3 linked regions of the Diceros bicornis minor genome follow. The protein of the gene in region 2 purifies or fractionates together with the protein of the main gene of each other region. This does not show direct contact. Links are inferred from orthologs where the notes say so. Each region holds a gene or a part of one and is shown on either strand. Other genes may lie near its edges.

Region 1 (8,081 bases), on a different chromosome or scaffold from region 2:
TTTTTTTTTGGCTAAGGAAGATTCGCCCCCTGAGCTAACATCTATTGCCAATCTTCCTCTTTTTTTGCTGAAGAAAATCTACCCTGAGCTAACATCGGTTGCCAATCTTCCTCTATTTTGTATGTGAGCCACAGCCACAGTATGGCCACTGATGAGTGGTGTAGGTCTGTACCCAGAAACTGAACCTGGGCTGCTGAAGCGGAGCATGCTGAACTTAACCACTAGGTCACTAGGGCCGGCACTCACCACTTGTTTTTGTAAATAAAGTCTTATTGGAACACACACATACACACAAAAGGTGACAGAAAGAATTCATTGAGAGTAGAGTATTTAGATATATAGAGAAGAGACCATTTATAGGGAAAGGTTCTTGGGAAGGTACAATGGGATGAAATCCAAAGCATAAAGTGGAGGGATTGGCCTATCATAGGAGGAAAGCAATGTCCTCTATTTGCCATAAGAAGAAGGGAGAGTAGGAGGAGTGAAGATGGTATGTAGGTTTGCATGTTTAATGGCTAGAAGCTGAAGGAGTTTCCATCTGAGCACTTTGGTTTTCTGGTGAAGCTGTAAGAAATATCTTCAGTTGATGGAAAAGGTGGAGGGTTTGGAAATTTGAGAAGTTTGAAGAAGGTTTCAGTTATCACAAGCATTATTCATAATAGCCAAAAAGTAGAAACAATCCAAATGTCCATCAACTGATAGATGGATAAATAAAATGTGGTATATCCATACAATGGAATATTATTTAGCAAAAGAAAGGAATGAAATACTGATACATACTACAACATAGATGAACTTTGAAACCATTACACTAAGTGAAAGGACACAGTCACAAAAGGTCACATATTGTTTGATTCCATTTATATGAAATGTCCAAAAGAGGCAAATCCATAGAAACAGAAATATTACTGGTTGTCAGGGGCTACAAGGAGGGGAAGAAAGGAGGAATAGGGAGTGACCGTTAATGGAAATGGAGTTTCTTTTTGGGGCGATGAAATATTCTGAAATTAGATACTGGTGAGGTTGAAGAAATATTTGAATATACTAAAGACCACTGACTTGTAACTTTAAAAAATGTGAATTTTCTGGTATAGGAATTATATCTCAATCAAGCTGTTATTTAAAAAAAAAGAGAGAAAAGTTATTAAATAGGCTAGTTGCACTATGCAGATAAAGGAAGTGGGATTGGCAGGCAGCAGAGACATCCACGAAATTAAATAAGCTTCAGCTTGGAGACCCTCATTGCACAAGTCCCCATGAGAATAGGGAGCTGCTGGAAGAGGTGGTGTGTCCTAGTTGAGAAGGGAAACCAGGAAGCACTCAGGAAGCATATCCACGTTAGGATTCTGGTAATCATAGAGATCTCAAAAGAAAGGCATCTGTATCTCTAAGCCTCCAGTAATTTTTTATTTATTTCTTCATTCTAAATACATATTCATCCTAATTTTGTATTTGTAATTGTATATTCTTTTCCTTTAAAAGGACTCTCCCCAAACTGTAGAAGCTTCAAGTTCCAGAAAACCAAGATCTGCCCTTGCAGATAGTTGAGGATGTATTTGAGGTCATTGAACACGAATTTATAGTGATGTCACTCATCCTGTTGTGTGACTTGCTCCAACAGTACTCAGCTGCTTGGGTGTAAAAGAGAGTAGAGTTGAGTTCATCTAGAGTTGGGGTTTTGTGAGTTGGGAGCATGTTATTAAAAATGTGGACCACAAAATTTAAACTGGATAAGCGGGGATGTGAAGTAAGGAGAGGTCTGATGGATCATGAGAAAGCAGAGGAGTCAATAGGCCACAACAGTTGTTGAGAAGAAAGATGATTATAGAGGAGAATTTGAAAGATCAAGTTGGAAGATAACATGGTTAAGGTGGGATGCCGGAGGTGAATGACAATGTCCATAGGGGCGATTGTTTGAGGCGATCTGAAGGTCACAGGCGATGACATGATCATTTGCTCTAAGGAAAATCTAAACTCAAAGATGATCTTCAAGGAGCTGCACAATCTGTCCCCTGCCTGCCTCTGTAACCTCACTCAGCCCAATGTCCCTCTCACTTGCCTCACTGCTGCCTTCATTCAGGAGCTCCTTCAAGCCTAAGGACTTATACACCTAGGAGTTTCTCTGTAGTTTCTCTTCTGTCTAGAATGTTCTCCTCCGCTACTTGGCCAGGCCAACTTCTACTCATCCCGAGGATCTCAGTTTAAAGTCTTTTCCTCAGGGAAGTCTTTCCAAATCTAACCACTCTTCTCCCAAGGGGTAGATCCTCCTATTATATGCCCAAATAAGACTCTCTTTTTTCTTTTATTTATTTATTTATTTTTTCCCCCAAAGCCCCAGTAGATAGTTGTATGTCATAGCTGCACATTCTCTTTTTTCTTTCACAACATTTATCAACCATATTGAAGAAGTGATGGGGCTAACTATTTGTAAAATAAAATTATCTGTAAAATTTAATAAAATTATCTGTAATCTGTAAAATAAAACATACACAGACTTCTCCGGGATTGAGGAGTGCAGGAACAGGTCTGGCTTTCCTCTCTGTTGTATTTGAGATCCTCAGAGACTTGCACATACTAGGACGTTCCATAAATATTTGTTGTATGAATGCAATTTAAGACACGTATAATAGCTTTTTCCAGCATACGTTTTAAAATACAAAGATATAGAACATGGTTTAACAGATAATCTGAAAACGGCATATAATATAAAAATAATGTAAATTTCCTTCCTAAAATACATACATGGAGACATATCTATCTTCAACCTCTCCTCAACCCTTATTTCATCTCTACAAATACAAATCTAAAACAACACAGTCGAAGATAGGGAAAAATAAAGATTTCTTATATAGAAATGAGATAATTGGATCCCTTATTTGAAATAAAAAAGTTATTGGAACTTCCAAAGGTAAATAGTACATTATACTACCATTTTCCATTAAAAAGGACTTTACAACAGGAGTGGAGGGAGTGGTGAATTTTTTAAAGCCAACAACACATTTGGAGGACGTGAGGCAAAATCTGTGTTCACATACTTAGAAAGAATCGCTTTGGTTTATTAGCTGCCATAAAATTTACACTCATGTTCTAAAAAGCCTTTAAATTTAAGAAAAACAACAACAACCCCTCTTGCTTGTTCTTTCTCTCAATCCTCTTTATGGTTTTCCTTGTTTCCACAAAACAAGTCTGATTCTCTTCTCTTTAATCTTTTAAATCTCTGGCTAAAGGCCTCCTCAAAGAAGACTTCCTTCTTATTCTGTCTGACCTAGTCCACTCCAGTTATCCTTTCACCTTACTGTGTGTTTATTTCCCTCAGGGCACCACATTTATCACAATCTGTACTTATGTTGACCTTTTATTTGTTTACTATCCTATGCGACCGCGGGAATGTCACCTCCGTAAGTGCAGGGACCCTTGTCACCACCCCCAGCCTACTATAATTGTACATTTTCAGACTCAGAGGAACTCCTGAACACGAATGATGTGTTAATAAGAAAATGCCTGAGGTTATTTTTCCCAGAAATGTTCACTTATCTCCTTTTATCTGATTGTTTATATTACCTTCTAAAATTTGTTTTGGGGCTTTGTTTTTCATAAAAAAAGTGGAAAAGATATTTCTATTACAGGATCAATCATGTTAAACTCAGGACCAGGGATCATAATTGTAAAACACATACAAATAGGCAAATAGAACTAGGACATCCAGTAAGTTTCCCTTTCTAGTCCAACATCCCAAGGGTAGATTTTAAAGAAATACGAAGTCAGTGGAAGAAACTGGCAACAAATGGAGGCAGTGTGAGACTAAAATGTCCCAGAGCCAGACTCGGTCAAATCCTTTGGCCCCGATAAGCGCTCCCACCACTCTGGCAGGGTTGCTTCGGGGACCAGTCCACGCCAGGCTGGGTGGGTCCCCCTCTGTCCTCCCCGCCAGGCTGGTCCCTAAGGCGCACTCCCCTTCGCCTTCGCCCTCCCGGTCCTGGGGCTTCAGTCTCGCCGGCAGAGATCAGCGGGGTCGCGGACTCTCCAAGGCGCCGTGGGCTCCCCAGGCTGTTTTGCTTTGCAGGCTGTCAAGTAGAGAAACCCACCCCATGCCCCAACCCCTCCCCCCCAACTCCTGATTTCGTGCACAGTACAAACTCCGAAGTGACACCCGCCAGAGCCAAGATGGCAAACCGCAGACTGAACAAGAACGTTAGTCGCTCTTCCCCGCGCCCAAGCCCCGGTGGCGCTGCCTTCTCCGAGGACTCGGCCGCGTTCCCCGGCGAGGAGCCCCCTGGGGGCTCCAGCCGCCACCGCCGCCGGGCGGCCGAGGACCCCGCTCCAGGTTCTCGAACTACAGATCCCAGGGTGCCTCTCGGACTCCCGCTCCCTCCCTCCTTCGCTCCCTCCCTCCGTCCGTCCCCTCCTCCCCCGGCCCTTGTTGTTTTGGCTGGAAGCGTTCTGGCGGAGTTTCAGAGAAAGTCTGGACAGAAACCTGAGCCGGCCTGAACGTGGGAAGGGGAGGAGGAAAGGGAGGAAGAGAGCGCCGGGAGGCCGGGAGAGGGAGGGATCGGGGCTGGGGGCCGGGCCGCTCAGAACCTGCCGCGCGCCCCAGGGTGGGGGAGGCGGCGCGGGAAGAGCGAGAGGGGACGGGACAGTGGGATCAGTCCCGGGAGCCCAGCAGCCGAGCGCCTCGTCCCCCCGCCGCTTCCCGCCCTCTTCGGCGGCGGCGAGAGCGAACCCACCCTCCGGCGGGACCTGCGCCCTCCCCAGCGCCCGCCGCCCGGCGACGCCCCGCGCTTGGCCGCCGACCCTGCGGCTCCCTCCGTGGCCCGGGACCTGCCCTGCGCCCGCTGCCCACGGGACCCTCGCGGCTCCCCCTTCCCTCCGCGCTTTTGGGCGCCGCGGGGAAGTGACCCAGCCTCCCCCGAGGAGGGGGAAGGAGATCGCCCGGGGCGCACCGAAACCGAGAGCGGGCGAGCCAGAGTGGGCGCCGCGCGGGGTCATTGTGTGTGTGAGTGAGTGTGTGTGTGTGTGTACGCGTGCAGCGTAGTGTCTGTTTCGGAAAACGCTCTGGGGAGGTCCTGTCCCTAGAGGGCGGAGCGCAGGGGACCGAGGCTCCGGCGCTTTGCTGGGTCAGAGTCCCGCGGAGCCGGAGCGCTGCTGGGGCGGCCGGCGGGACGGCGCGCCTGGCGGTGAGGCGGGCGCCCTCGGCCCGGCGGCGGCCCCTGCCCGGAGCTGTCGGCCTTGGTGGCGCAGCCCGCCCCTGTCGACGTCCGCGGACCTGCGCGGGAGAGGCTCGGCCGCCGAGAGCCAGCGCGCCGCAGAGCCCGCCCGCCCCGTCGGCCCGGGCTGCGCCGCCGGAGAGCCAGGTCCTCGGCGCTGCGCGGCGGCGGGCGTCGGCCGTGTCGGGAGCGCGCCCGGCCGCCCGTCTGCTGCCCGGCGCGGAGCCGGAGAGGCGCGCACCATGAGCGGCGGCGAAGTGGTCTGCTCGGGATGGCTCCGCAAGTCCCCCCCGGAGAAAAAGTTGAAGCGTTATGTAAGTACAGCTTCGGCCTCGGCCGCGCCGGCCTCCGCGCCCGCACCCCTCCCCGGCCGGCTCGCCGGCGGCTGCAGCCGGCCGCGCGCGGGGCTGCTTCTCCAAGTCAGTCCCCATCTCTTCCCCCTCGACCCCTTCCCCATGCTCGGGACCGAGTCGACACTCACGCCCTGGCCTCCTCTTTGCCGGGCAACTTTCCTCCTCTGGATTCCAGACGCCGGCTTTGCGGGCCTTCTCGGCCCATAGGAGGGCCCGGCATGTCCAGCTAAACGCCCGCTGCGTGTTTCTATTATTCCTTTTAGCAGGGGTGAGGAGAAGACCATTCTTTCTTTATAGCTGCATCTCATCGTTATGGGGCTGCTGTGTCCTCAGTTTCCCGCACTAGGAAAACCGCGGAGATTTTAGAACTCACCAGCCCTCTCGCTGGTCCGCGCCGCCTCTCGCTTTCCCTCGAGGTGGGTTGCGGGAAGCGGGCTGTGGACCTGAGAAGTCAGTATTAGAGACAGGCATCTCAAATCGGCGCAGAAGGGAAAGAAAAGTTATTACGCGCTCTACCGTTTGCTTAACAGGGTTCACATTTTCGCGGTTTTGAATCGAGGGCCATTGGAGCTTGGCCCGAGAGCCTTGGCAGTTTGCTGCGAGAGGAGGGCGCTGGGGGGAGCCTGGTGGCTGGTGTTTGGGCGCCTTGGACACGCTGTCAAGCTCTGCAGGAGGGGACAGCTGGGGCCAGTAAGGATTTCTGTTTGTTGCGGTCCTTTCCCAGGCCACCAGAGTTGCTTAAATGGTATTTGTGTGATTGATACAAGATGCTGATTATGTGTTAAACCGTTTTAGCTGTTAGGGAGAAAATTCCTTGAAAGAATCAATGTTTCTTTGGTGGAAATCTGTGTCTTCTTCAGGGGTCTGAAATCTCGCCCCTTCTCCCCCATTGGTGCTTTTGTCGCTGCCCCCTGCAAAGGAAAGAACTGATGCTTTTGCCCTGGCATTTGGAGCAAATATTTTTCTAGTAAAATATATTTCAAAAGCAAAATTTATGCCCCCTAAAATATAAATTTACTATCAGGGGGCTGACACTTCTTCTAATGGAACCTGTTTCTTGTTGAAGGACATCTACACCCAGTGTTAAAGCTCGGGTTAATCCTATTAGTCACTGTTTGCTTGTATAGAATGGAGTGAAATATTTAACTTCACTGACAACTCAGCAGTGAGTTCTGATTTACTTTCTGCCAGAATTTGTTATAGACAAGTAATTCTCATTTAAAGATTTGATGCCACAAATCCTAAGAAAGTTCTCCAGAGATTTTGCATCCTTCCAAATTCTGTCTCTCCACCTATCACAGCTTGCCTGAATATTAATGGTAAAGATGCTGACTTTATTCCAAAAATTTGAGAGAAGTAGTAGTTTTTTTCAGCTCTTAGTTCTAAAGAGAACGTTGTATGTGTGTGAGAAGAGGGAGTAGGGAGAGAGATGTATTTGTTTTGAGAGGGCACACTTTAGGAAAGACATAGATCTAAGTGATTGGGTTCTTGGGGGAACTAAAGAACAAAATGTTTGCTGAAATAGGTAGTGATAATAGAGAATTACTGCATTCTTTCACGTGGTTGGTTTGTGGCTCCGTCAAAAGATGCTAAGCACTGAACTAGGCACCCTAGGATTAGAAAACACAGTAGGAAAACAGCCCTGCCTCTTGGACTTGCAATTTAATGTAATATAAACCAAGAAGAAAATCAGCCAAAAAGATTATGTCATAACAAGGACCAAAAAAAAAAGGAAAGTCTAACTTAAAAAAGTATTTATTATTTTATTTGGTCGTTACAACAGTTTAATGCGGTAGGTGTTATCTCTGTTTTACAGATGAGAAAACAGTCTACATAACTAGAATGTACCAGAGGTGGGATTTGAACCCAGATCTGCCTGACTCACTGGGCTCTAAAAGGTTAATGCCTCTCATCTAGTTCATTTCAGGTAGAGCTCAGACTAGATCATCGCTAAAGGTCCTTTCAGATTATAACTTTCTATAAGTCTGTGAATGTTAGTTGAGAATGTGAGGAATAGGTGGGCTGTGGATCAGATGTGCAGTGCTCAAGAAACGTAAGACCCTTCAAGCAGCTTTCTGGGTCTTTGGGAAGATAGGTCAAGTATACATGAAAAAGTGAGCCAGCAATTCATAGTGGTTTCTCATTGTGTGCCCAAGCTGAGTGGTATGTTTGTTCTTTTTTTTTAATAGATGTTTTGAGGAACAAATCCAATGTAGTCTGAAACCATGAGAATATTTGAGAGAGACAGCAGGCTACCTAAATTGTGTTTTCAACAGGGGGAAGAATATGCCTAACAGCTAGCTGGGAGGAGGCGGGGTTTTCTTGCCTGGAGGAACACTAGTCTTTTCTTTACACACCAGTGACTGGGCCATGGAGATGGCCCAGGAAGACTGGGCAGGGTGGCTGTTAGAATTGAGGGGTCCAAGAGGGTGACTGAAGTGTTATACGTTACAATGAAACTTGTCTCATATTTTAACTGTCAAGTTGATTGCCCAGAAGATTTTGAAATTTCCAGATTATTGAT
Region 2 (7,161 bases):
GCCCAGCCACAAGCAAATGACCAATACAAATCAACATAAAAGTAGTTCATATTGCAAGAGCCTCATTCTAACCCTTTGTAGCTGGCATTCTTTAAGACAAGGTTTCCCAAAGCATGTTACCTATTAAACTAATTTTACGGAAAATGGCTACTGAAGATGTTATGAGGAAAAAAAGGCATATTTTCGGTTTAGCTTTGTTCTGTTTTGTTTTTCCCTGTGATTTTTCAGAATCTTCAATATTCTAATGTGCATGATGTATCTCTAAAAAGGGTAAGAAGAGTCCTATATCCCCAAATTGTATTTGCCCACAGAAATGATTTGAGGAACCAGCACCTGAATAATTCTTCTTGTCCTTCTGTGGAGACCTTTTCCACAGGCACACTAATAGGGGCAACGGGGCAAGGGAAGGGAAGAGAGTAGAGCGAGAGAATCCAAGAATAAATACTCTAAGACAGGGGTCACAAATCCTAACACCTACAGGAGAAAGTGACGTCAAGATCAGAGGTAGGCGGGATGCATTACAAGAGAAGATGGGATGATGGCAAACTGCAGAACATATGTTCTGTCTATTGCAATTCAAACTTTTAAAAAACATTCTGTGGGCCTAGGCAAGTCTCTACAGGTTGCCAGCATGAAGCCCCTGTGCTAAGAAGATTTCTTTCGTTTCAAAAACAGTAACATGTGAACAAACTTAGAGTACCTTCAAAGATCCCAATTTTAATGTGTTGCAGGGAGAGCAGAAAGGATGTGGCATATTTAGAGCGAGACACTGCTGCTCCTCTCCCCTTTGACCATGGCTACCATTAGGCCATCTCAGGGTTAAGAGATGGGATCTTGCTTATAGTTGAGCACTATGTCATCCACAAGTGTGTAGATAAGGATAGCTCATGTCTTTCAAGCACTTATATTTTACCAGACACTATTCTATGTGCTTTACTTATAGCTCCTCATTTCATCCTCACAATAATCCTATTATCATCTCCATTTTACAGATAAGGCACAGAGAGTTTAAGCCACTGGCCTATAGTTACATAGCTAGCAAGCAGCAGAACTGGGCTTGAAATCCAGGCTGTCTGGTTCTAAAATCCACACCTTTAACTGCTATGCTACACGTGGAGATGTCTTGCTCCTCATTTGAGGGGTATATCAGTTTTGAATGCTTTTGGCCACAGACGACAGAAATCCCAGCTAACAGTGTCTGGAACAAGTATTTTTCTACAAAACAAAATCTGGAAGCAGGTGTCTACTGGCATTGGTGCTGTCGCTCAGCAGTGTCAGAGTCCAACTTTTCTCCTCATGGTTGCAAGATGGCTAGCTCTTTGCTGAGCATTATATATGAAATCAAGAACGCAAGAAGTGAGAAGGGGTGGCACCAGCTTATTAGGGAAACTAAACTCTTTTCCAGAAGTCCCCAATAGACCTCAGCTTAACTCATCACCAGAATGACATCACATGGTCATGTCTGGTTGCAAAGGAGTCTGAGAAAGCAAGTATTTCTCCTTTCCAGCTATAAGAGTGGAGGCAGGCAAGGGAATATCTGGTTGGGAACAGGTGCTGGCTTAGCCAGCCAACAATGTTGGCCACAGGGGTTTGGTTTGGTTAGGAAAATACCAACCGAACTTCATCATACAGTGTGTCACCCATGCCATGGATCCAAGGGAAGTTAAACAGCAACAATTAAAGTTGGCCACAAAACCAAAATTGAATTGTAGAACTCCTATGACCTTTTTTTTTTTCTTTTTTTGCTTCTTTCCTTTTCCAAATATGTGAAATTACTTTTAACTCTTTTCTGGATCAAACCTATCTAGGTAGTGCGTAAAAACTAATTATTTGATTTTCATACACTCAGTTACTTTTAGTTATGCTATTCTTAGTTATGTTATTTTTATAAAATATTATCTCCTTATTTATAATTAATAAATCAAAATGACAATTCTTAATAAGTTTCAAAATTGGACTGAAATTTGTCAGTAACTAGAAACTAGGAAACCAGTGCTGAAAATATATAATAGGTTATTTGGATTTATAATCTATTTTATTTTCCAGTTTGTACTGGATTTTCTGGGTCTTTCTACCACTTTAATTGTAATTTTTTTCTTTTATATTTTTATCATGGCACTCAAACTCAGAAAACCTGTTAAGGCAACTACATAATGCAATCTAAAAATCCAGTTAACATATTGCTATGGAAACCAGGAAACAGAATCAGCACTCTAACCATTCCTTTGGACAACTATGACTAATTATGTGTGTGTGTGTGTGTAAATTCATTAGTTTATTCACCTTTTATTGGAAGTTGGTACTGAACCCCAAAACTATAATTGACCTGTCCATAAATAGGCCCAGGGCCCTCCAACCAGTCAATTAGCATTTTAATATGAACCCTAGTCATTGTTAAATTACACCATGTGATATTAGGAAATCTTCAGTAGGGCTGTGTTGTTTATTTAGCCTTCCCAGGCTGTGGCCTCTTGGCATGTTGTGAAGAACACCTGACTGGGATTTGAGAGCTGGGTTCTAACCTCTCCTCTTCTACTAACCAGCTGTGTGACCCTCACAGGAACTCTCAGGCACTGAGTTTCCTCATCTGCAAAATGGTTCAATGCAGAGTTCTAGCACAGTATTATGTAACGGGAACTTTCCTTTTCCATAAAATTGGGGAATCATGAGGTAATCACATTTGAGGATGGAAACGGCTCTGTGTAGTCCCGGGTAAAGCGCCTGGCACATAGTAAGCTCTCAGGAAAACGGTAACTGTTCTTACTATATTTTCCTATTTTTCATTCTGTAGTAAATAATTCCTGAACCTACACAGTCAATGTCGTTTTGTCCCATGACTGTCAATAACTACCAGATGCCACTATCTGACAAGCCCTTCCCAGAGCCAGAGAGGAGAATGCTAAGTCCTAATAGGCAACGCTCTTCCTTAGATCCTGTTACCTTTGAGTGTTTATTTTCTCTTGAAGGTTAATGTCAATTTTTATATTCAGACATGTGAGATATAAAAAGTTATCCTGATACAACTCACCAAGGCCCTAACACCCTTTTTTTTTTTAAAAAAAAAATCGTAAGATTTCAACATTCAAGAATTAAACTTTTGTTCTGTTTTGCTTGTTCCTTGATGTTTGCCTAGTTATTTAATCAGCCTGTTTCCTGCTACAAAAAAAAAAAAAAAGTGATAGTGAAGTTTCATCAGGGTTCAACTCCTGTGTTGTTCTTCCTTCCAGAAATCCGAGTTATTATAGTAGAGGATAATGGTTGCATAACGATATCCTTGGGACAGTTCGTCCACCCACTCCCACCTCCGCCTGGACAATGAATGCCTTGTTTCCGCGGCGCCCTAACCGTCCTCCCCGCCGGGCAGCGCCCGGCGGCCGGCGGAGCCGCGGGAGAGGCTCCGGGCAGAGCCTCGCGCTTTTCCCGCCGGCCGCGCGCGGGGGAGCGCGGAGGGGGCGCGCCGGGGGACGCTCGCCGCGCGAGCACCAGGAGGGGGAGACTCGGTGCCGCTTATCTCCGGTGCTGCAAACTTCAAACTCCCCGAGCTGGGGGAGGAGAGAGCGCGCAGCCAGGGCGAGGAAACTTCTCCACCTAGAAAGTTTCACCTTGCCGTGGGCGGGGCGGGAGGAAACGCGACCCCCGCGGGGCCAGGCGCGGCGCGCGGGCGGCAGGAAGGGCGGGGGCCGATTTCCCCCTCTGGGTGGTGCCAGTCCCCACCTCAGCGGTCCTCGGACCGGCGGACGCAGCGGACGGACAGTGCGCGAGACAGACAGACACGTGCTGGGGCGGGCGGGCGAGCGCCGCGGTCGGGTCGCCTGGCCGTGCCTCCCGCCTGGACGCGCCCGGGCCGCGCGCGCCGATGCCCGGCTGAGTCACGGGCCGGGCAGCGCGCGGGTGGGGAGGGGCGGAGGGAGCGCGGTCGGCGAGCCGACGGGGCGCTCGGCTGGGCCCGGAGGCAGGTGACCCGGAGGTTCTCGCCGCCCGCAGCGCCCCGAGCCCCGAGCGCTTTGTGACCAGATGCAGAGCCCAGCGGAGGGCGCGAGCCAGATGCGGGGCGACAGCTGACTTGCTGCGGGGAGGCGCGGAGCGCGCCGGTGGTCCCAGCGCGGCTGACTTCTCCTCCGCCGGGTCCTGGGCGCCGCAAGGTAAAACTGCAGTCCGCTTCAGATCCCGTACCCACCCCTGGCCCCAGCGCTTCTCCTCTCTTTGTTCCCCTAAGAGACCTGACTGCTGTTCCAGAGGACGAGACCGGGGAGGTGGGCGAGAGTTTAGGGGCTTCAGAAACTGAAGGACTGTGGCCAGGGGGGAGTCGAAACTAGAATGGGGCTTTTCGTTTTAGGGGGTTGCTTCTGACGGCCACCTGTATGACTCAGGAGAGAGAGGGGCGCAATACATTGCAACAGGGGTTTACATTAGATGTACACTCTGTGCTTTCAGAATTAGTGGATAAGGTTTGTCTGAATGATAAAGATGTACACAGATGACAAGATTAAACCACAGCCAGTCAGAGGAGAGGGTGATGTATGACTGTTATGGCCGGGCAAGTTTCAAGGCTGTGATCTGACTCAGCCCTTACAAAGGGGATCCGGTCACCCAGTCCCAGGGTGATGCAGCCGGCAAGGTTTGAGCCGCAGAGCGGTTTCCTTGTTCCTTGTTCCCAACCCTGCTTTATCTGTATTAGTGGGTGGGGGTCCTTCCAAGGGGCAGGTGTTTCTGTGAAGGTCTGAATTCTTCATTTCTAGCAAATACACAGGGCTTTGTGATCCATCATTTTCAATCGTACCTTCTCTCTTGGCTGGGACTCTGTGGAGGACATCTATCTTATTAGGTGAAATAGATTATAACCAGCGGTCGGCAGTCTGGCTTGTACTGGTACTGACCCAGTAATTAAAGCACCAACCAAAGTATTTTCACCAGCTATTGCCAATGCAGAATTTACTCCCAAGTACGGTTTCCCATTTCATACCTTTTATGTTTTAAAAGAGTCATTTACTAATTTGACAGTTGGAGAGGGTTGCAGTGGCTCACACATGAATAGTTGCCCAGTGTATTTTACAATTTAACAATTTTATCTTCAAAGGAGCCTTGGGGCAGAATGAAATATTGTCAACTCTCTTAGGCAAAATAATCAGGATACTTTAATTGCCAAGTTCAAGATGGTCGATGAATGTGAGAGGATTGTAAAAACTGACGTTGGAGAGAATATAGACTATCTGGACCCTCTCCTGAATTTTAAGAAGACTGTTAACGTTGTGTAGAGTTGGGTGGAGGTTTCTCCTGTCATTTTCATCAGCCAGACACATGCACATTGCCATGCAAATGGATTCAGAAAAACATTATTTTCCTTTACAGCTAAACTATTATAGCTGACTAATGAATTTTTTCTGCATGAGGATGATCTGAAAATGGTGTACATCATGTTTCTCTTTGCTACTGGGACATAAATTGTGCTTTTATGTAAACTGTAAGTGGTGCTCAGATTATTTACAGGTGCATAGCTTTCCTTTCCAGCTCTGAGCTTACTGGGCTTTGTTTTAACATGTAACCGTCCGTAATGGAACAGAGCTGAGATGCTTTGGTTCCAGTCATAGACTGCAAAAGCCTGTGGTGTATTCAGTGTTCATTCTTTTTGGGTTGCTGAATAAGACAGGTGAAATTTACATCACTCATAAGAAATTTTTTGTTGTACCAAAATTTTTTGTGTCTGATTGCCTATAAAATATACTGGTGTTTTAAAAATTCTGTTCGTTTCGAACTTGACAGTGCATAAGCCTGTAGTTATTAACCTAAGTATATTTTGATTTTAATATGATGGAATTTATGGCATATAGAAGATGATCTGCTGACTACTGCTTTTTCTAAGATTGCTTTGTTCTTAATACTTGCAGTAGAGGTTTACATTAGATGTACACTCCGTGCCTTCAGAATTAGTGGATAAGGTTTATCTGAATGATAAAGATGTGCAAGATGAACCACAGCCGGTCACTATGAAAGCTCGTAACTAGTATTTTCATGACTTTTAAACCTACAATAAAAGAAAAATGTTACTTTTCTAAGTGGGGGAAATACTCTTATAAATTCCTTTAAGACTGTATGTGTATGTCCCACTATAATCTTGAAATTTTAAAAAAATTTGTTTTAATGAGGGTTAGATTAAGAAATACATTTCAAAAATCAATTTCCTTAGCTGTTGATTAAAAAATAGTCCAAAATAGCATTAGTCTAAAAAATAGTCCAAAATAGCATTAGTCTAATTTTCCTTTTACAAATGGGTATAATAGCCTCAAACAAACTTTTTCTCAAATGTGGTCATCTCAAAACAAAGTGAATAACTCAAAAGGTCTAACATCCTCTCAGGACGCACACTGTTCTCTAAGTGGCTGCACCAGTGCCTATGGTGACACACCCATGGTGTGTACACAGCTCCCTGCACGTTCAGAGTAGCTCCGGTCTCTCTGCCCCCTTCCTCCTCATCCCTTTCCCTTGGTTTGGTCAGAGCTGCTTCCAAGCCCTTCTATGCTTTTCTCCACTCCAATTTCATGGTTTCTTCGCTGTCATTAGGCTTAATGCTTCTCACCAGACTGTCTATGCTTTCTTTTCCCACCATCCATAATATTCTGTGTTTGTTCATGGAATCCCGAATTTCTTAATTGTGCCACCTTAAGGGGATTGAAAATATGCGGAAGCTCAAGGGCTGGGCATGTAACCTCCTTTACTTCCCTGGTGTATGTTGAAACTGGTGTCTTTGACTCTGAGCCTTCAGGGCAGAGTTTCTCCAAGGGCTTTGCTCATTGCAAAATAGTCACCTCTTAGTAATAAATGGTAGGTATACTGACTGATGTCAACTCAGGATCACTTTGATTCTCTGTTCTTAACAGACACTCAGTTGCTGCCAGGCCCACATTCGCCTCACCAAAAATAGCTAAGAACTGTATGTTGAGCGTTCTATGTGTTTGGTACTAGGGGAACATTTTTTAAAAGGAAGAAATGAAATCTCTGCCCTTGAAGAGTTTAAAATCTAGATATACAGATAAATATCACACATAGAAACTGAACCAAGATCCATAATTATTAAGGGGACATCACACATATTTAATTATTAAGGAGAATGACAATGTTAGGAGTCATCCTGTTTGCTGGTAAATAATAGAAATTTTTTAGAAA
Region 3 (7,716 bases), on a different chromosome or scaffold from region 2:
CCTTCCCCAGAATTTTAAAGCTTGAGATGAGGGAGCCCAAGTTTTCAGTCTGCTCTGGAGCCATGAAATATGAGCCCAGGAGCTTCCGGAGAACACATCCTCTACCATAAGGATGGAGCCTGTTTTTAGCATAGAGAATAAAGATGAGTTCTGGCACAGCTTGAGTCATTGGAGGCCCCAGCACACCTGTTTTTCCCAGATTTAGTTATGGAAGCCAATTTATTTCCTTTTAGCCTAAGCTAGGGAATTGAGTTTCTGATCTTCCCAAAAGCCCTAATTTAAGTCTGTTTCTGGAAAGTCTAAGCTAGTGATTTATTCCTGCCAAGACCTGCAAAGCAGAGTTTCATCTAAGTCCTTTGCTAAAACACATGCAAAGCCTGGAAGAAAAGTATATGCAATTAGCTGATACCAGAAAGTCTTTAAGACAAACAACTGTTGAAAACCTCCTCGAAGATTTACAGGCAACTTTGGTCATTGCTTCTAAAGGAACTCAGTGAGCAGACAAAGCTGATAAGCTGATGTCAGTAAGAAGCAAAGCAAATGCTCTGGGTCACCTTTTTGGAGAATTCCTTTTCTTTGTCACTGAGTGCTTGAGTTTTTTCTTGCTCAAGAAGGAAATGGGATCTTCTCTGTTCCTCTAGAATGGATTCTGTCTGATGCAGTGAGTCCCGCAAAATTTTAATTTCTCCATTTTTAAGGAGGACTTCGTCTTCCATTGCCTTCATCTGTAAATCCCAAATCAATCTTGTGACAAATTTGTAAGGGAAAATTATATATGTACTTGTTTCAACATGTTGCTGGGGAGACGGAGAAAGCACACGTGAAACATGTCCTACAGACCAATGAGTGCTCAAAATATACCCCTACCAACCAGATGTCACCATGATCTGCCAGGCCCATTCATGAGACAGCTGATATTCAGCAACATAGCTTAAGGACACACTTGTCACTTATGCATGCAGATTCTGTAGGCTCCAGTAGGTATTAAAAAATCTGGGTCACACACCTCACAGAACTAAAATTCCACATTATGTTCTTGGTTTTCCTAGGGACCTATAGATGGTCATATGAAAGATGTCTGCTTTTTTTGCAAAACTGCTAATGAAAATAGCAACCATTATGATGTTGTGTTCCTTATATAAGGCATATACTATAAATTTATCTCCGTGCTAAAACAGAAAGTTTGTGTCTCTTTTTGGATCTGGTGTACAGTGTTTCCTTTCTTGCCTTGGCTGTTAGGAATCTCAGGATTTACTTTTCTTTTTTTTTTGGTGATGAAGATTAGCCCTGAGCTAACGTCTGTTGCCAATCCTCCTCTTTTTGGTGAGGAAGATTGGCCCTGAGCTAACATCTGTGCCCATCTTCCTCTACTTTATATGTGGGATGCCTGCCACAGCGTGGCTTGATGAGTGGTGCGTAGGTCTGCACCCGGGATCCGAACTCGCAAATCCCAGGCCACCCAAGCGGAGCGCGTGGACTTAACCACTACACCACTGGGCCAGCCCCTCTTTTATATATATATATATATATTTTTTTTTTTTATTGAGGTAACACTGGTTTATAACATTATATAAATTTCAGGTGTGCATCACTATATTTTGATTTCTGTTAGATTACATCATGTTCACCAAGGATTTAGTTTATTTCAGCCTAAATTTTCTGGCTTTCTTTCCCCAGCCTTCCTCCATTTCATGGAGATGAATCTGGGCTCTTGTTTTAAAACTTTTATATATTTTATTGTACAATGCTTTATAATACATGCATAAGTGAATGAAGTAACTACAAAACCACAAATTAAGTCACTTACCTTTTCTTTAAGTTCTTTGTATTGTGCCTGAAGTACCTCTAATTCAAAATTATCTTTAACTGGAACACTTGCTCTGTTTTTCCCTGCAGGATTTTTTGACATCCCATCTAATCTGGGGACCTTATGAACATCTGTAAAAAACAGTTCCCATATACTTTTCAGGACCCAATATTTTCCCACCTTTGCCAGACAATGCTGAAAAGAATCACTCTTGAAAGCAAATTAGAGAAAGATCTAGTAAGCAATATACATATCTCCAACCTAAGAACATGATTTAAACTCATAAATGATCTTTATGAAATAACAGATCCTGCTACCCTCACCCCATCCCCCACTCAATTTTAAGAGTCTAAAGGTTGAAAGGAGCTGTGGGGATCTCACTGGTTAGAACCCTGTGATCTGTTATTCAACAATATTTATTGAGTACCTATAATATGCCAGGCACAATTTAGTCTCTAAAGGTACAATAGCGAGCAAAATGGATATAGTCCTTACAATCATGGAATTTACAGGACATTCAAAAATAATCATACAAATAAATGTAAAATTACAACTGTGATAAAAGCTGCAGAGGAGAACAAATATAGGAAAGGCTATAATAGAGGGATCTGACCCAAGTGAATGATTGGCAAGCCTCCCTAAGGAAGTGATGACTGAGCTGATAGCTGAAGAACAAGCAGGAATTAACCAGATGAATGGGGATGGGGAATGGATGGAAAGCACACTCAATGTACAAGAAACAGCAACTTGCAAAGTTTCTGTCTTGTAAGGAAGCAGAGAGAATTCAAAGAATGAAGGAAAGTCAGTGTGGCTAGAATTCAGGGAGTGGGAAAGGGACAGACCATGCTAGGCCTCGCAGGCTATGTTAAAGATTTTGATCTTTATACTAGAAGCAGTGGGAAGTCATTAAAGGCTTTCAGTAGGGATGCTCGCGTGAATCTGTGAGACACAGACAAATTTGAGTTTTGAAAAGATCACTGTGGCTGTGGTGTGAAGTCCAACTTGCAGAGAGTCAAGACTGGAAACAGGGAGACAAGGAGTTGTCCAGACTGTTGTCCAGAGGAGGGGCAATGGTGACATAGATCAGAGATATGGTAGAGATGATGCAAAGAGGATGGATTCCAGAGAAGGAATAAGAAGGTAAAGTTACAGGATTTTGAAAGGAATTAGACGTATGGTCAAGGAAACGGAGCCATTGCCTTGTGCCACCTGATGGAGAGCGGGCTAGTCATTGTTGTGCAGAACATTTGGTCATTGATGAGTGTTTTCGGAATATCTGCTTTGCCAGGCAGTGTGCTGGACATGCTGGATTTCCAGGAAATGATTGTGTGGAATTTAAGATGCTTTTGAGACATCCAAGTAGAGATGCAAGGTGCTCTCAAAACCTTTCTCTTTCTGGGAGCCCCACAAGACTTCACTCATTCCCCAACTATCACGTAAGCTCCATGAAGGAAGGGCTTTATGTCTTTTATTCATTACTAAGTGTGCTGCAGTCCCTAAGGTCTAGTCACCTAGTACAATTTATTGGTTGTATAAAAGAATAAGACTCTTTCATCTCTTGCCTCTGCCAGGCCTCTCTTATGCTCATGCCGCCCAAGGGAGAGCGTGATCTTCATTAGATCTAGAGCCTCCCAAACCCGTCACGAGAATGGGTCCCCATGCACAGGCAGTGATGGTTCCGATGGCGGTGGTAGCCGTGTTTCAAGGATCTCGGCTTAGAACCAAGAACCTAGTGGCAAACTTTAGAAACTAAAGTAAAATGTTAACCTAGTTTTCTATATTTCAAATCAGCTGTTTGACATTCCTGATACATTTCTCCTCAAAATCAAAGGACCTTTTGGGACACAACCGCTGCTTAAATCAAGCTGTTCATATATTTTAAAAAGGTGAAGGGGCAGTGTGGGTGCAAGACACCGGGGGCGACGGTCGCCCTGGGGTTCCGAAGCCACAGCCATCAAGGGGGGTCTGGCGAGGTCTGCACCACCCTCTGGGGAAAAGGCCCCGAGATGCACTCACTGAACACGTTCCGAGCCGCGGCCGGGCATTGGCTCAGGGCCTGTGACGCGAGGGTGTCGAGCTCCTCGAGATCGTCGGCGGTGAAATCCCCGTGCGCGCCGAAAGGGTCTTCAGGGTCTGGGGCGGCGGCCGCGGGGAAGCCCCGGGCCCGCTTGCTCGGAGGGTGCCCGGTGCTGGGTGGCGGGCCAGGGCTAGGCGCCGGGGGCCCGCTCCGCCTCCTGCTACCCGGCGCGGAGGTTCCAGCCATGCCTGCCGCCAGCCACTGTTCGAAGGCACCGAGCCCGGCCTGGTCGCCGCGAGACGGAGGACCTGGACCAACCGCCCGCGCGCCGCAGCTCGCCTCAGCCGCTCGGGCCACGCCCCCGATCCTAAGGGCCAATCAGCTGCCAGCCGGCGGGCGCGGAGGAATGACATACATCCGAGCGCGCCGCCGTGCTCAGCTGAGTGCCTGTCCTCGGTGGCGCCCAGCCCTCTGGGCCCCGCCGTTCGGGTACCGGCGCCTGGAACTCAGAAGGTCGGTGGCGGGAGCTCTGGCGGCGCGAACTGAGATACCAGGACTGCGGGTTTGAGGCTCACCGACCCCACCGCGCAGGTGGCTCTGCGCTTCCTCCCTGGCATCCCGTGGGTACACAGCCACGCTGGAGGAGTTCGCCCTGACATTCACAAGTGCGCACGTGAACCCAGGCAGGCAGCACTTAGGGGTTTGGTCTCTGCGACCTCGCTCTCCTCCCACCGGACCTACCTCTCACATACCCCGAGGCTCTCTTGGAGAGAGTGGGGCTGGGCGAAGATTATGAATAGAGCTGTTGTGAGCACACGGATTTGAGAACAGTAAATGTTTTGAATGTGTACATTTGAGGTACGTCTGGGGAAGAAAGGTCTAAGGAGAAGGGGGTGGGGGGAATCCTGAAAAGGGCGTGCCTGTGTTGGAGGAGGGTGGGAACTAACTGCTTAGGCTGTTAACATTCATTCATTAATTTTTCTGAGAGTCCTTGAGTGTTTTTGTCCCAAGCGCTGGTCATACAGAAATGAGTAAGGCTCAGGAGGTCAAGAAGTCTCCCTGGAAGTGGCACCTGGGCTGTCCTGCAGGTTGGGTGGGAGTTATCAAGAGTTAGCAAGGAGGCTGGCCCACAAGACTACTCAGACAAGAATACAACACCGAAGTGGAGGCCACACAAATGCCAGATAGGAGTTATCTATGGCAAAGAGAGAAGGTAAAGCTTCACAGAGGAGCAAGAATTCAAGCTGAGCTTGAGCCCGACAGGATTTTATCCGGCAGCAGTGGTGTGCAGGACGGTTAGCAGGAGCAGGCTGTTGGAGAGTAACAGGAACAAGACTCTTTTCATCCTTGCATGTTCAGTGCCAAACTTAGCCTGTGAGTGTCCTATGAATGTTTGTGAAAGCAGTAGATGAAAGGGAGATGGTTGTCAGGACCTAGAGGGTCTTAAATACTTGAGTTTAGTTTTGAGGCATTTGGTAGGTTCCCTCAGATACCTGTCCAAATGTTGAATGCGTAAGTCTTAATTGCTGCAGGTCTCTGGTCCTATAAAGAGACAGGATTATACTTCATTTGTCAGGAGGGATTAGGTTCCACCAAATAAAAAAGTAGTAGCTTACTCTCAGGGGCAGTGTGCTGGCACTGCCTCTCAGAAAGGTTGTTCTCAGCAGCCTAGGGCTGGGTGCCAGCTTCAAGGCCTCACGGGGAACACCTAAAGTCCAAAGAAGGTGCTGCGGGCTGTGTAACTTTCTGAGAGAGGACCAAAGCGGGCTTTTTTTTTTTCTTCTCTGTGGATATCAGGTACATTAGAGTCATAAAACAGGCTTCAATCTATCAAAATCTTTTCCAGTTTTGACTCAGCAAAATCTCAGACTAGTTCTAGAGCCCCTTTGAAAACACATTCTCAGAGAAAGCTTAGCATTATTAGCATTATTCCTATAATTTTATCAAGGGTCTGGAGGGGAAATCCAAAGACTTGTGCCTCTGGATTAAGTGTTTCAATACATGTGCATTTGGCATACATTATGGATGATCTCGTTTTCCAGGAATTTACTCCTTCTGGAGTCAAGGGTGGTAGATAATCAACAAATGTCAGGAGAAAAAAATGAAACGGAGTAAGAAATATTGGGACTGCCACTTTATAGAGTGGTCGGAGAAAAGCTCACTACTGTGATGTTTCAGTTCTCTAAAGGGAGGGAATCTCCACTACCACAAGAGTGACAGGCAGAATGAAGAGTTGCTGCGAACACAGTGAAGCAGGAGCTTGCTTGGAACCTAGGCCACTGTGGCTTAAGATGGATCAGGGGGATGAAGATATCAGTGGGTAGAGAGTGGCATCCAGATCCCTTAGATCTGGTCCTTGTAGGGACGCTGGCTTGTGCTCTAAGAAGGCACTGAAGAATTCTGAGCCAAGGAGAGACAGAGTGACTTTATGGTTTAGCAAGATCACTCTGGGTCCTGAGTGAAGATTAGACTGTAGGGGGGCAAGGGTAGGGGCAGGAAAACAAGTATGGATGTGATTGCAATAATCCAGGTGAGGGATTTTAGGGTTAGAATGGGGAGGTGGTGGTGGTGGTACTGGAGGAAGAATAAAGGGGCCAGAGTTAATTTTGCTGATGGGTTGAATGGGGGGTATAAGACATGGGAACCTAGCAAGGACCTTTCTGAAGCCCTAGTGGAAATGCAGACCTGGGGGCTCTGGAGTAAGCTTGGTACTTAGAGACTTTCAGGAATCTTTCCCCAGTTTTCTTCCTTTCACAACGCATATCATATGTATTTGTCCTGCTCCCCTCCCACAATAGAGAAGTTCCTTGACAGCAGGAATTGTTCACTGGTACGTGCTCAGCCTGCACACAGGAGACTCGACTTACATGAACAGATGAACAATCCCATTAAAACAAATGGCAACATGGATGTTATGACAGAGAAAGATGGGTCTTCTGTTTTTTTTATAATTTTTTTTTTCCCCCAAAGCCCCAGTAGATAGTTGTATGTCATAGCTGCACATCCTTCTAGTTGCTGTATGTGGGACACAGTCTCAGCATGGCTGGAGAAGCAGTGCGTCGGTGCGTGCCTGGGATCCGAACCCGGGCCGCCAGCAGTGGAGCGCGCGCACTTAACCGCTAAGCCATGGGGCCGGCCGGAAAGATGAGTTTCTTTCCAAAGTACAAATTCTTCCACTAACCTCATGTAATGTATTCTGTTGAGTATACAACCAGACAGAAACAACAGCCATTTGAAATGAGCTGGTTTAACTCCAGGTGGTACAGAATTCGGGATAGAACAAAGACTGAAGAACACTGGCAGGATTCTGGGCTGGGTTTACTCTGACCTCACAGCTAAGGTAGAAATGGCTGAGTGAGAAGAACTAAATAAAGACGAGTCACTGTATGATTTTTTTTTTTTTACAAAATTTATTCTTAAATGTACAACAGGCTCCAAGACAACACTTCATTCTAATTATAGGTGGCAACAGATGTTATGGCAGGGAATCCAGATGTTTAAACAGGAATGGAATTAACAATCACCACTGCCTCAGGCACAAGGAACAGCTTACTTTTTCCCCGATTTCTTAATTCCACCTGTGGCTGAAAAAAAAAGGAAAAAGTCTCAGCTAGGGAAAAATACCGTTCTTATGGTAGACGCCCCAGGGGCTTGATATGAATCCCAGTAAGGCTCAGCTCTTGTACTGGGCATTCTTTGTGACACAAGCATGCACAGGGCTTTACCAATATTGTCTACTCTGGGCAAATGCAGAATGAGGATGAGGCAGAGGCACAAGTAATGGCTGTGCACTGGTCTGGATCTACACTGTGTTGTGTGTTTCACAGATTGGCTCATTTAATCCTCATCCCCTATCAACCCATTTTACAGATAACAAAGTCTTAGCATTAGG

The links. The genes of interacting proteins can lie anywhere in the genome.
Region 1: the proteins of MET (region 2) and GAB1 purify together in Homo sapiens (affinity purification with western blotting; 3 studies listed by BioGRID and IntAct, with this or other methods). This does not show direct contact. The link is inferred for Diceros bicornis minor from reciprocal best matches to the Homo sapiens genes MET and GAB1.
Region 3: the proteins of MET (region 2) and PLXNB1 purify together in Homo sapiens (co-immunoprecipitation; 3 studies listed by IntAct). This does not show direct contact. The link is inferred for Diceros bicornis minor from reciprocal best matches to the Homo sapiens genes MET and PLXNB1.

What each region holds. Positions count from the first base shown.
Region 1 is NC_080750.1:33,150,543-33,158,623, forward strand, and holds the start of GAB1 (GRB2-associated-binding protein 1), read left to right. Parts: upstream 1-5,005; 5' UTR 5,006-5,446; coding exon 5,447-5,518; intron 5,519-8,081. UniProt on the Homo sapiens protein: Adapter protein that plays a role in intracellular signaling cascades triggered by activated receptor-type kinases. Plays a role in FGFR1 signaling. Probably involved in signaling by the epidermal growth factor receptor (EGFR) and the insulin receptor (INSR).
Region 2 is NC_080742.1:67,624,185-67,631,345, forward strand, and holds the start of MET (hepatocyte growth factor receptor), read left to right. Parts: upstream 1-4,083; 5' UTR 4,084-4,142; intron 4,143-7,161. UniProt on the Homo sapiens protein: Receptor tyrosine kinase that transduces signals from the extracellular matrix into the cytoplasm by binding to hepatocyte growth factor/HGF ligand. Regulates many physiological processes including proliferation, scattering, morphogenesis and survival.
Region 3 is NC_080741.1:49,801,218-49,808,933, reverse strand, and holds the start of PLXNB1 (plexin-B1), read left to right. Parts: upstream 1-4,640; 5' UTR 4,641-4,667; coding exon of another isoform or gene 4,668-4,682; intron 4,683-7,214; exon of another isoform or gene 7,215-7,408; intron 7,409-7,716. Other genes in the region: ATRIP (ATR-interacting protein), read right to left, coding at 555-725, 1,808-1,938, 3,824-4,070. UniProt on the Homo sapiens protein: Receptor for SEMA4D. Plays a role in GABAergic synapse development. Mediates SEMA4A- and SEMA4D-dependent inhibitory synapse development. Plays a role in RHOA activation and subsequent changes of the actin cytoskeleton.